3 linked regions of the Oryzias latipes genome follow. The protein of the gene in region 1 purifies or fractionates together with the protein of each later gene. This does not show direct contact. Links are inferred from orthologs where the notes say so. Each region holds a gene or a part of one and is shown in the gene's direction. Other genes may lie near its edges.

What was found.
Region 2: the proteins of smarcd1 (region 1) and bcl7b purify together in Homo sapiens (affinity purification with mass spectrometry; 4 studies listed by BioGRID and IntAct, counting the BioPlex papers as one, with this or other methods). This does not show direct contact. The link is inferred for Oryzias latipes from reciprocal best matches to the Homo sapiens genes SMARCD1 and BCL7B.
Region 3: the proteins of smarcd1 (region 1) and bcl7a purify together in Homo sapiens (affinity purification with mass spectrometry; 5 studies listed by BioGRID and IntAct, counting the BioPlex papers as one, with this or other methods). This does not show direct contact. The link is inferred for Oryzias latipes from reciprocal best matches to the Homo sapiens genes SMARCD1 and BCL7A.

The regions. Positions count from the first base shown.
Region 1 is NC_019863.2:13,904,112-13,908,342, reverse strand, and holds the start of smarcd1 (SWI/SNF-related matrix-associated actin-dependent regulator of chromatin subfamily D member 1), read left to right. Parts: upstream 1-1,431; 5' UTR 1,432-1,467; coding exon 1,468-1,650; intron 1,651-4,231. UniProt on the Homo sapiens protein: Involved in transcriptional activation and repression of select genes by chromatin remodeling (alteration of DNA-nucleosome topology).
Region 2 is NC_019871.2:22,450,707-22,454,683, forward strand, and holds the start of bcl7b (B-cell CLL/lymphoma 7 protein family member B), read left to right. Parts: upstream 1-1,177; 5' UTR 1,178-1,226; coding exon 1,227-1,339; intron 1,340-1,804; coding exon 1,805-1,880; intron 1,881-1,960; coding exon 1,961-2,048; intron 2,049-2,178; coding exon 2,179-2,337; intron 2,338-2,955; coding exon 2,956-3,059; intron 3,060-3,786; coding exon 3,787-3,867; 3' UTR 3,868-3,977. UniProt on the Homo sapiens protein: Positive regulator of apoptosis. Plays a role in the Wnt signaling pathway, negatively regulating the expression of Wnt signaling components CTNNB1 and HMGA1.
Region 3 is NC_019870.2:1,211,988-1,216,042, reverse strand, and holds the start of bcl7a (B-cell CLL/lymphoma 7 protein family member A), read left to right. Parts: upstream 1-1,255; 5' UTR 1,256-1,362; coding exon 1,363-1,454; intron 1,455-3,002; coding exon 3,003-3,253; intron 3,254-3,350; coding exon 3,351-3,500; intron 3,501-4,019; coding exon 4,020-4,055.

The DNA.
Region 1 (4,231 bases):
CAATGGGCTTTTCATATTCTAACTGGATTTATTTTAATTGTGTAATATTCTTAATCATTCCTCCATGTTATTCCACAACTTCACCCAAAAGCAAAAATGCACATCGTTTTTTGTGTTGTCCTTACACAAGGTTGTTTGATGTCATTTTTCTTTCTGCAGTACAAAAGAAGTAAAGACCCATGAAATTAGGTTTACTCTGATTCTCGTATATACTAGCAGAAAACAGAAAGCCCAAACAAACAGGCATCACAAAATACCAGGTGTTGTGTTGTTGAAAAGAAAATATTTTCTACTCCAGATATTGTGTTTATCTCAACATAGTCAAGTTCTGGACTTGTAGAGACAAAAAGTGTCACATGTTACTTAGCAAAATGATGGAAAGAAACAATCCTGTAGCTGAAAACGTCATCATCAAGATTTCTATTTTATAAAACCTTCTAAAAACATTCAGAAATAACCTGCAAATATGTACACAAATAGAAGTTAGTTAAAAACATACATGATTGTTTTTTTAAAGGATATGATACAAAAATATGAATAGTTACATTAATAAAAATCAAATGATTTTCTCATTTGCAAAACAGTCATATATTATGAAAAATGAAAAATATCAGCAATCCACTGTTGAACCAATTGATTTTGTACTGTAGCCTAAATTAAAATGAAAACTTTTATTTTTAAATGTGTTCTTTAAAAGTTAATAATGTTTTGGGGCATTTTGTTTTGCTCTAAGTTTTATTTTGTTCGATAAGAGAAAATTGAAAAACAATGTATTCTGTTTTGATAAATGAAAGACATATAGAAGGCAATAGAACAGATTAGTGAATTCACATGAAAAGAAAGAAGACAATTTAATAGCGTCCTAAATTACTCCAATATGGTTGGCCTACCCGTTGACTTTATTCTTGTGCATATAATCATGTAAATTGAATGCTGGTTGTTAGGACTTGTCAGGACTGTATTACTCCAGCTAATTAAAATGTTCTTTCTTTTTTTATTTTAATTGTTTTATTTTCTACAGACCAGACAGATTTTTTCGTGTTTTTAATATATATTTTAAACTATATATGAATAATATTAATACATATACATGTATATATTGATATATATTAATACATATTTTAAACTACATGAACTATACTTTTATAGTTTTTCTTGTAGTTTTCATGAGTAGCTGCCCAGCCTGTTTGTTGTTTTTTGCTCTTGTATTTAAAAAAAATAGCACGAAAAACAAAACAAAAAAACTTCACGAAAAATACTAAAATATTATAAAGGAACATACTAAATGTTTTTTTTAAGAAATAGCCTATATTACGCCTTCATACCCCACAATTATCCTTTGTCTCTTAATGTGGGCAATCGTGCAGTGTCAAAAGAGAACAGTAGAGGGCGCTATCGCAAAGTGAACGCCTCAGTTGCTCTCGCGTTAGTTCCTTTGCTCCACCGGAGGCGACATCTAGTGAGGAGATGGCGTCCAGAGGGGGGTTTCAGTCTGCACCGACTGGTGGTGGTGGAGCTGTTGGACCTGGACAACCTGTACCCGGTGCTGGACCAGGCATGGGACCCGGGACTCCCACTGGAAGAATGGGTCCATCTTCGGCTGGTCAGAACCACATGTACCGATCTCCAATGCCTGGGCCTGGGTACCCGGTGAGTTATCACTCCATCTTTGCGTCAATGCTAGCCGGTCCGCTAGTAGAACAAAGCCACTCATCGCTGCTTTGTCGCCAATGGCTAACATTAACCCCCGTCCCCCTACAGGCCCAGTTCAATAGAACTTAAGAAACCCATTAAAAGTAATCGACTTTTAATAAATATTTTTTTCGAGCGCTCTGGCGGACTTTTATGAGTTTATCATGTTTGAATTTGCTAAACCTCCCGCTCGCTAACAGAAGGTTAGCTTACATGAAACTGTGCTACCTCGCCTGCTAACGCTAACTAGTAACTAGTTACTGTGTTACGCTCGTCGTAGTTCTCTAGTTACTGATTGTGTGGAGTTAACTGGCATATACAGATTGATTAAATCTATCAACTTTTATGAATACGTCTCGTTTTGACGGGATCCATTGATTTCCTCTGGGAAATCTGAAAGTAAAAAGTCCGCCTCTCAGGAACCGTACTCTGCGAAAACATCTGGCTGCTACCGTCATGTGAGTCTAAATTCAAATTTGCTGAAAGGTAATTTCCGAAAACCCGCTTGTATTTGTCGCGTCTCTCTTTGCTGACGTTTAAAAATTGGCATTTGATTTGACTTCTACTTAACGGAACCATTGAGTTTTTGGTCAGGTTTTAGGTGTAACTCCGCCGTCGAGAACTTCTACTTGTTAATAATACAACGCTTGGTAATGTTTTGCTATTAAAGTACACGCAACATAGTTTACTCATACATTGCAGTTGTTAAACTTAAAAAGGGGGGGGGGGGGGGGGCATGGTAAACTTAAAAGTCCACCCACCTACCTACCAACCTGAATTAATTTTTTTAAAATAAAGACATGCACCCAATTTTGAGAGGAGTCTTCATACTTTTAACCAATTACAAATGAGGTAAACTCAGAATTTACTTGAGGGCATGATAAATATTTTTAGAAATTGAAGATCTTAACCTTGAAAAACTTCAAAAAATGTTTTATTTTTATAAACTAGCAGGGAATGGAGAAGTATCTTATTTATAAATCTATCAAGATCGTTTGATTCTTAATTGATGGAAAGGTGGGTGGTGATGTCATTGTCTGTATAAGAGAACTGGACTGAGCGAGTCTGACGTCACCCGTAGAAAGAAAAAAAAAACGCCTTACTTTCAGCTCCAGCAAAATGAATCCATCAGTCGCTGTTAGATCTGCAGTACACTCATCCCCATGTTGGAGCCAGACCACCTAAGTAAACGGTGATGAGCCTGCGTCTGTAGGAGTCGACGCTTCTATGGCAACTCCTGTCGCCAATCAGGATTAAGCTTTTATCTTAGTCCACATCTCTGCCACTGAAAGCAGGCTCAGGAGAGTCTGTCAATTAAACATTTCAATCATTAGAGGCGGGGTTTACACACGTTCGAGCAGGTACTTCCTATTTGACATCCGGGGTGGGGGTGGGGGGTCACTTAGTCCAGTTCTATTAGGCGGGGATGTTTTGGTGGAAACAAATTGTGGAACTTGAGGGGAAAGTAACATGGCAGTGAAAAATGATGAGGGAAGTGAGCTGTTAGTGGCGGGCTAACATAAATTAAAATGGAACGTGGAAGTACAGCTAGCTAGTTTGGTGATTCAAATTTTAGTGTGGAGTAGTGTACGCAGCAACCTTTGTCACCGTTTTCAAGAAGTTTAACATTAATGCTAAAGATGTTTGTTGTGTTGAAACAGACTAAGAGAAAGAGTTTACATTTCTGCAGTTCTTTTAGGGTTTTAAAAGTGTCCTAGATGTTCAGACTTCATATTTACAATACCTAGACCAAATCCAAGTTCTTCCCCCACTTCTACTTCTCCCTACACCTACAGTTAGCCCTCCAAATGGAGTGTCATATAAAAATAGTCATTTAGACGTCACTCTGACTCGATGAGGTCATCAATCGTCGTCGGTCAGCCACGTTAGCGGGTGGCGATCAGAAGTAAATAACGTGGGTTTTAGAACATTAAAAAGCCATGCTAAAACAAAAAGTATTTACTTACATTTACGTGTAAACTTCTGTGCTTCAAGGCACACCCACTTGCAGAGATACGTTTCTCTTTTGCGGCACAGAACATGCGGAACACCTTTGCGTTGGAGGGCTCCGTATCCCTCCGCGCAGTGAAGGTTTTCCATTCCAAAAACTAACACCCCTACCCCCAAATGCCCCTACAATTGGAGGGAAAGAGAGAAGCTGGAGGGGTAGGGGAAGAATTTGGATTGAACCCTAGTGGGTTTATGTTGAAGTCTGTTTATCTAAAAGACTTTCGATGAAAAAATGTTTTTCACTAAGGCAGTGATTTGGCTACAGTTGTTTATTTTTGTGATTTAAAGACCAATCCCACTAAAGGATACTGTTGACTGTTCCATCTAGGCCTTCACGATAAATGGCAAATTTCTCGTTATCGCGATATCAAGCTGTGCAATCCGCATATAGCAAAAGACAGCGAAAATCGCAATAAATTGTTACTTTAAATGTGCTAAAACAATCTTATGACAGCTTGTAATTATTTAGCAAATCAAATAAATCTATTTATGGATGAAGCCTTTTTGTTAGAAGCTCGCCTCCCATGAA
Region 2 (3,977 bases), on another chromosome or scaffold:
CAGGGTCATATTTACGTAGCTCTGGACATGTTAGAAAACATCTTCCCTCAAAATAATCATTTGTGGCCATGAATTTGTATTTTGTGTGCACAAATTAGCATTTTGAAGCCACATTTTGGTAATTCATGGCCACAAATCAGCATTTTCTAAACATTTGTTGTGGGCACAAAGTAGCATTAATAGGAAAAAGGTTAGTACACAAGTTTGAAGGTAGCATTTTGTGTGTACAAATAAGCATTTTATTACTATTTTTTGCACACAAATTAGCATTTGCACAAATGTACAAACTGGCAAATTGTAGTCGGACAGTAGCGTTTTGTGGCCACAAATTAGCCTTCCGTTATAACAACTTAGCATTTTATGAGAACAAATTAGTTTTGTGCAAACAAATTAGCATTTCATTAGCATTTTGTGGGCACGAAAAAGGATTTTATGGGCAATGTATGCATTTGGTTTGCACCAAATTTGTATTTTGTGCATACAAGTTTGCTGTGTACACAAAATTAGTATTTAGTGCACACAAATTAGAATTTTTTGGACACAAATGAGTATTTTGAGCAAACAAATTGGCATTAAATTGGCATTTGGTGGTCACATATTAGCATTCTGTATGAACATGTTCTTATCTTCTCAAAATTCGTATTTTGTGTGCACAAGTTGCAATTTATTAGCATTTTGTGCCCACAAATGAGAATTTGTGGGCATAAACTGCTACTTTGTGTGCACAAATTCGCACTTTGTGGACACAAATAGTATTTTGTCTTCACAATTTGTGGACACAAATTTATATTTTGTGGGCACAAGTTGGTATTTTTACAACACTCGGTGGGCGTAAATGAGTAGGCCTAGTTTGTGTGCGCAAATGAGCATTTATTACACACAAATTAACATTTTGTGTTTACAAAATAACATCATGATGTACGCACATCTACATGCACAAATTGGTGTTGTGTGCACAAATTTCTAATTAGCTAATCCGAGGCCACAAATTATTAATTTGAGGGAACCATTGGTCTTTTTTGTGCCATGTACAGGGCTTCGTACATATTTTATTATTTCCTGAAACGTTCAAAACTATCCCACGCACTTCGAACACACTATAACTTACATTATCGGTACATGACTGAGCACAAAACCTCAAGATTACAGAAAACGAGGAGGTCCAAGTATCGCGAGATTTATCCCTCTGGGAGGATCGGGGCTTGAAGTTTCAGATGCATCGGTAGATGAATCATAACGGGATCAAGATGTCTGGACGATCAGGCCGCGCTGAGACCCGAAGTCGGGCCAAAGACGACATCAAAAAGGTCCTGGCGGCCATCGAGAAAGTGCGCAAATGGTATGTAAACTGCGCGGCGCAAAAAGGGCATGAAAATCGAGACCGCGGCGCGATATCTTGCTGCGTAGCTCAACAAACTTCAGTCGGGAAAGTTGGATGATTGACAAGGCTTTCGACCAACCAGCGCGCCCGTTTGACAGAGGAGGCGGGGCTAGTTGAGTTTTTCCGCCGACAGCTGTCAATATGGCTCCAGCAGCTTCACATGCGGCGGCTTGAGAAGTCGGCGAGCCTCCTGAGAGCTGCATTGCTGTGGAAATCAGACACTAACGCGTTACATTGAATTTCCTCCATTCTGCTGTGCACGGAGAAGTAGAGGGTTTTGATCAGATATTAGCTCCGCTGCACCGGACTATGAAAACACGCGTGACTAATAAATGCGTTCATTTCTCTATTATTATTACGACGCCCTGAAATCTAGCAGCTGCTAGGAGATTTCCCCATGATCCAACGTACATTTCTCCTCAGGGAGAAGAAATGGGTGACGGTTGGAGACACGTCCCTGCGCATATTCAAGTGGGTTCCAGTCACTGAAACGAAACAGGTGTGAGCCTCAGTCAATAAAACACACAGAGACCTGTGTCACGACCTGCATCCTCCTGATGGGTTTCATCCTCTTTCCAGATCTTTCGGACCAAATCTACGGGTGGAGACGTTAGGGGACTGAAGGATGTGGTTCTGGAAAACACCAACTCTTTGCTGGATTTCACAGGTAGCCTGAGGATTCCTAAAGAACATTTTCTTTATCATTCATATCTTGGATCAATTGGGTTTGATTTAACCAGATCAAAGTGATCCTCCATTCCAAGGGTTTCATGATTGTTCCAAACGTCTGCTCTTAGATGACAACAGCAATCAAAGCTTCATGTCAGACGTTTATCAACCAAAAATGGACAACAGCAGCAGCAACTCCAGCTCCCAGCAGGTCAGCCCCCCGCATACCTTCAGCCTCCGAGCGGAGGACTCCCAGCCGCCCATGCTGGGCCAGGAGAGTGTGGATGGTATGTAAATAAAACCATGTCCAGAACTGTCATTAAAATCCTGTTTTTGGTGTTTCTAACATGTTCTTGTTGCATTTTTCTGATGATGGCCATGTATAAACAATTATAGCTTAAAACTGCATTTCTGAGTATTTTTTTATTCAAACTGTGAATCAGGAGCAGATAAAAAAAAAAAAAGTGGTGGAGGATAAAGCTCCCTGCTCTGCTCCATTTCGATGCATCCACAATCATATCCATGTTCGCCTTTGTTCTCCTTGTCCAAGCTGGCTGGATGCTCCAATGTTGCTCACCAGTTTCACCTGTAATGTTTTGTTGGGGTTGTAGGGGGCTGTAAGCTACTGGGAGTGAGTGTAAACAAAGGAGATGATGGGAAATTACTCTGCGCCAGTGGTCCCGCCCACAACTCAGAAGAATTCCTAATGAACTGCTGCTGCTCTGCAGAAACTCTCCTAAGAAACAATACAAGTTTTTTTTTTTGTGTGTGTGGCTAAAAATAGCATAATAATAATTAAAAGACCACTGGGAACACTGAAAATAGATCAGAAGATGACTTTAAATGAATAAAAACAAAATCTCTTCCTAACTTAATGACACAGTGTCTTCTCTCTCTTGATGCAGAACCAGTCCATTTGGGACAGGAAGGTGCAGATGAGCCACCTACTCTTATTAAAGAGGACCCTCTCTCATCTGGAGCCATCAAACGGGGAGCTTCAGATATACAGGTTTCTCTTCGACAGCTTCCAAGACAAACTCAAGCACATCTTCATGAAATACAGTGGTCCCCTTAGTATATTGCGCTTGGAATAAAAGAGTGTAATTCTGCGTGTTGTTCTTTCTAACAGCGTATCGTGTTCTGCCCCCTCATTGGCTCTTGACAACGGTCAATCAATCTCCTCCATGCACTATCTCCTAAGCAGTCTGTTTGAAAAATGGGCACAAATCTTCAATTGTGATCAGATGTTTGCTTTCCGTCTATGATCCTTTACATACTTTTCTGGGAAGGTTTGAACTTTGAGAGTTTAAGCAAGAGAAAAAAACTGGGAAAATGTTCATTTCTGTCTGAGAAAATAGTATAAAGTGTAAAATAAAGATAAAGTCCCACTATCTGTCACACACCTAGGTGTGGGAAATTTGTTTTCCGCATTTGACCCATCCCCTGGGGGAGCGGTGAGCTGCCGACGAGCCGCGCTCGGGTGGTCCAAGCCAACCCCTTAATGTTGAGTGTCAAGCAGGGAGGCATTGGGTCCCATTTTTAAAGTCTTTGGTATAGTAAAGTGGTATAGTAGGCATTCCAGCCTTGAAACATCTGTAATGCTACTCTGTGGATTTCATCTATCGCAGCGATAAACGAGGGGACACTGTATCCCATTTCACGTCGAGTTAGTTATGTCCTGATAAGTTTTGAGGTGTAAATAGAAGCTGACATGTCTAACTTGTACTCTTGTCCAGCAGGAGGACCTACCGGTAGATGAATCGGGGGCACCGCCTTTGAAGAGGATTTGCAAAGGGGAAAATGCAGCGCTGAGATAGCTTTTGTACCACCTTTTTGTCCGTAATGCATAAGAAACCTGCTTGGATGTTGGGAAATTAACAACATTTTCAGAATTATGATGGGTTTCTTTTTACATGTTTATGCAAGT
Region 3 (4,055 bases), on another chromosome or scaffold:
GTCAAAGTTTGACCAAGCAGGGACTTGGTAGTGACGAATGGATGGTGTCCTCTCGAATTCACAGAAGTGCCAACCATTGAAAAAAAGCTCATGGAGCTGCAGAAATGTATAATTGTGGTTTACGTCCAGCAGGAATTCTGTGATTTATCAGAATGGAGCTGTGAAAGAAAAAGTCTTGGGCAAGATTTGCACCACTGACATTTCACACCCAGCCTCTTCCAACTGTGGCAGATATAGTAAACAGTGGGGAAAGAAGAAGAAGAAGCCCCTCCCTGCTTGCCCAGTGTGAACTTAGTATTTTACCCTTTCATGGGTCAATTATGAAACGCATCCTCAGTGATAAACGAGGCAACTCTGGTTGGTCCAAATATGATGGACATGTTTTGTCAGTACTGACAGCCTCGGGTCACAAGCGTAACTTCACTATATGTCACAGTGTGACAGTCATGATAGTTTCAACCAGAACCCAACATGGCTAAGCTAAACGTGGATAGCAACCGCACATTTTAAATTATGTTAAATGAAAAAAAGTCTACCAAAAAAAAAATCATTGAAAATAATAAACATTTAGCAGAAATGGTGTTTTGGTGGTGATGGCCTCAAAGTGTTTTCATACCCTCCCTTCACGACAGGGGTTTTCAGGAGTGGCACAAGAAGGGCAACACAAGATTTAAAGATCTGTTTGTGGACAACACCCTGGATTCATTTGAGCGGCTAAGCCGAACATTTGGTAGATACCTGTTAGGCAGTATCTTCTCTCTCTCGCTGGAGACCGGTTTGGATTTGAAAGTGTGTAAACAGACCAGACGACACCGTGTGGCTGCATGAAGAGCTCAGATGTTTATGGATCATATATCTAAGAGCAACAGAATTTCGTTGTCACAAGTTTCTTGTGTAACAATGATAATAAAGGCTTTCTGATTCTGAACTTCCATTAGTTTGAATCAGAAAGCCTCCCTCTAATTCCATGTTGGTGTTTCCGGCCCTTTGATGTCTCTGCGGTAAAGCTGCTTTGTTCTTTTTGTGTAAAATACCAACAAAAATGACAAAGAGTCAAACTTTTTCTCTTTTTATGGCGATTTTTTTTACAAGTGAGTGGGTAAAAACAGAACAGCTGTGTTCCTGCCGCGGCGGACACCCTGTACCGGCTCTGGGGGCAGACCTGGGGGGCAGAGCGGAGGCGGCTGCGGCTTCTTTGTTCCGCCGCTCAGCAGGATCTGATCTGAGCTCAGCGCGCAGCCGCAGCCGCCCCCCCCCTCTTCCCCCGGAGCCGCGCAGGCGCACTGGCCTCTCTGTGCGCTCTACTGTTTGCATTGTGTCTGAACTGCCGGCGAGCTTTAAAAATATTTTAGCAGCGCGGAAATGTCGGGCAGGTCGGTCCGAGCGGAGACCCGGAGCAGGGCCAAAGATGACATCAAGAGGGTCATGGCCGCCATCGAGAAAGTACGAAAATGGTGAGTAAACGCCGGGAAAGGAGCGCTTCGTTACCCGGGAGCAGAAAGGCTCTCTTGTTGGGGGAGGAGAGGGAAGAAGCGAGACGGAGACGGATGAAATTGAAAGAAAACGACGTTTTCTGGACGGCAGATCCCGCCGCGGCTCAGGTGCAGCGGTCCGCACCGGCGTACCGGTCTTCGCCGGTCGGAGGCGGGCTTCGGCGGGAACCGGTTCGTCGCATAGCCGCTGTTTTTCCGCCGATTTTTAACGGCTAGGGCTGAACCCAGAAGAAGCCATTTCGATGCAGTCACATGAAGCCATTGCTGCTCGCTGCGGAGCCGGGAGCGCGAGCGGAGCGGCGCCGGCCAAACGAACACCCGGCGCGGACGGAGGGACCGTTCGATGACGCTCCGGAGTCCGGGCTCTTCGGCCCGCGAGGAGTTTTAAGGCAGCGCTCGGAGTCGCCCTTCGGGTCCGACGGAGCAGCGCTCGGTCGGTGGGGGTTGGGAGAGGGAAGTCCGCCGAGATGCATGGCTGAACGCGCAGCCAGCGGCGCCGAGCGACCGGTTCGCCGCGGAAAATCACCCTTTAACCGCCTTCAGCTTCTCCGCCGCACATATACGGTTATCACCCGGACACGAGGAGCGTGGATCCAGCCGCGTGACCCCGCCGGGGGGCGGTATTTTTTTCAATTTCTGCCTGTCTGGGTGGATTAATCAAACGTCTCCAGGTCAAAGTCAGAAGTTTATTTTTTTCGATTAAAGTTAAGAAAATAAAACGGAATAAACAAACCGGAACCAGAAACTTTAGGCGGGTAAACAAAACAGTTTCAGTCAGTTATTCCCCCAAATTTAAAAAAAGTTAAACATTTTGTTTGTAAATTGCAACAATTCATTCCTAATAAAAAATATTTTTAAAACACATTTTAACTTCTGTTTAGTTTTATTAACATCAGTTTAAGGATTAAACATTTGTTTCAGTTTACATTTTTTTCTTATATATGAGAAATTTTAATACCAAAATTGTTTATTTAGATAGAGGGATTTTACCTTAACACCTAAATGTAGCTTTTTTAAAGGTTTAAGTAGTGATTTAGAAAAACAAGGGAAATAATCGAATCATACTGATCAATAATCAATATATTGATCATTTAGTGACATTATTTTTATAACTTTTTTGTTGGTTTTTATAAATTATAGAAAAATATTTTTTTCCAACACACACTTCATATTCATTTATGAATAATAAAGCTGTTTAAGATTTTTGTATATATACATCTGATCGGTAACTAATCAATAATATAATTAATGTATTTTGTAAAATATAAAAGTAATAAAATCAGTTTGAAATCTTAAAATAAGATTTTTAAAGAGGAGAAAATAGCATTTTTCACATAAATCCCTTTTAACATATATATTTAAAGGATTTATTATTGATATAATTAAGGGGAAAAAATCTTCTTTTGATGTGATTTTTGGTTTTTTAATGAAAGGCGCTTCTGTCAGGATGATGAGGTTTTCCCCTTAAAGTCAGAGATGCTTCCTGTCCTGATGGTTTCCTCTCTTCAGGGAGAAGAAGTGGGTGACGGTGGGAGACACGTCCCTCCGCATCTACAAGTGGGTCCCGGTGACGGAGCCCAAATCTGAGGACGTGAGTCCGCCTCTGACACCTGTCAGCCGGGGTTTCTCTTCAAAATGGATGATTCTTATTTTCCGTTTTCAGAAAAACAAAAACAAGAAAAAGGGCAAAGATGAGAAGTACGGCTCAGAGGTGACGACCCCGGAGAACAGCTCGTCTCCGGGGATGATGGACATGCACGGTGAGGCCCCACCCCCCCACCTGAGGTCACAGCTGGACATGACAACAGGTCGTTCTCTGATGAATGTAAATAAAGGCTGAGCGTGCTTCTCCTTCAGACGACAACAGCAACCAGAGCTCCATCGCAGACTCGTCCCCAGTGAAGCAGGAAAACAGCTGTAGCACAAGCCCCGCCCCCGAGAACAACGCCGCCACGCTCCGTGAGAACAGCGAGACCAAGAGCGAGCAGAGCCCGGACAGCAAGAGAGGTCAGAGGTCAAATGCAAACAGCAGCTGGTTGGAGCCAGCGACCCCTCGGCGCAGCTGTAGCCTCAGCGCCGCCCTCAGGGAATTCAACCGTCAACCGTGTTTTCCAGACGGGCTCTGATTGAGAGCACAGAGAGGAAATGAAGTCAGACAGTCTGAGCCAATCAGAAAGGCTCTGTGTGAAGCCCCGCCCTGATGCGTTGTGAAAACGGCGCCCTCATCATGGCCGATCTTCAGAAAGACCAATTAAGATTTAATTGAAGCAAAACTGAACGAATCCAATACTTTGACGGAATAAAAGACAAACCTTTATCCCAATTTGTCACAGAATTCCTTAAATACGACCAATTCAATTTATAAACCCTAAAATTACAACAATAGTTGTCCTGATGGGCTTCAATGTGACGGAGAACCTTTACATCTCGTTACAAGTTGCAGTTCCTTCATTTCACCACAGGGTGTCAGTAAAGCACCACAAAAGGGACTGCAGTTTGATCCAAGCTGTGACCTCTGACCCACAGGTAAGACCACGCCCTCGTCAGAGACCTCAGAGAGAG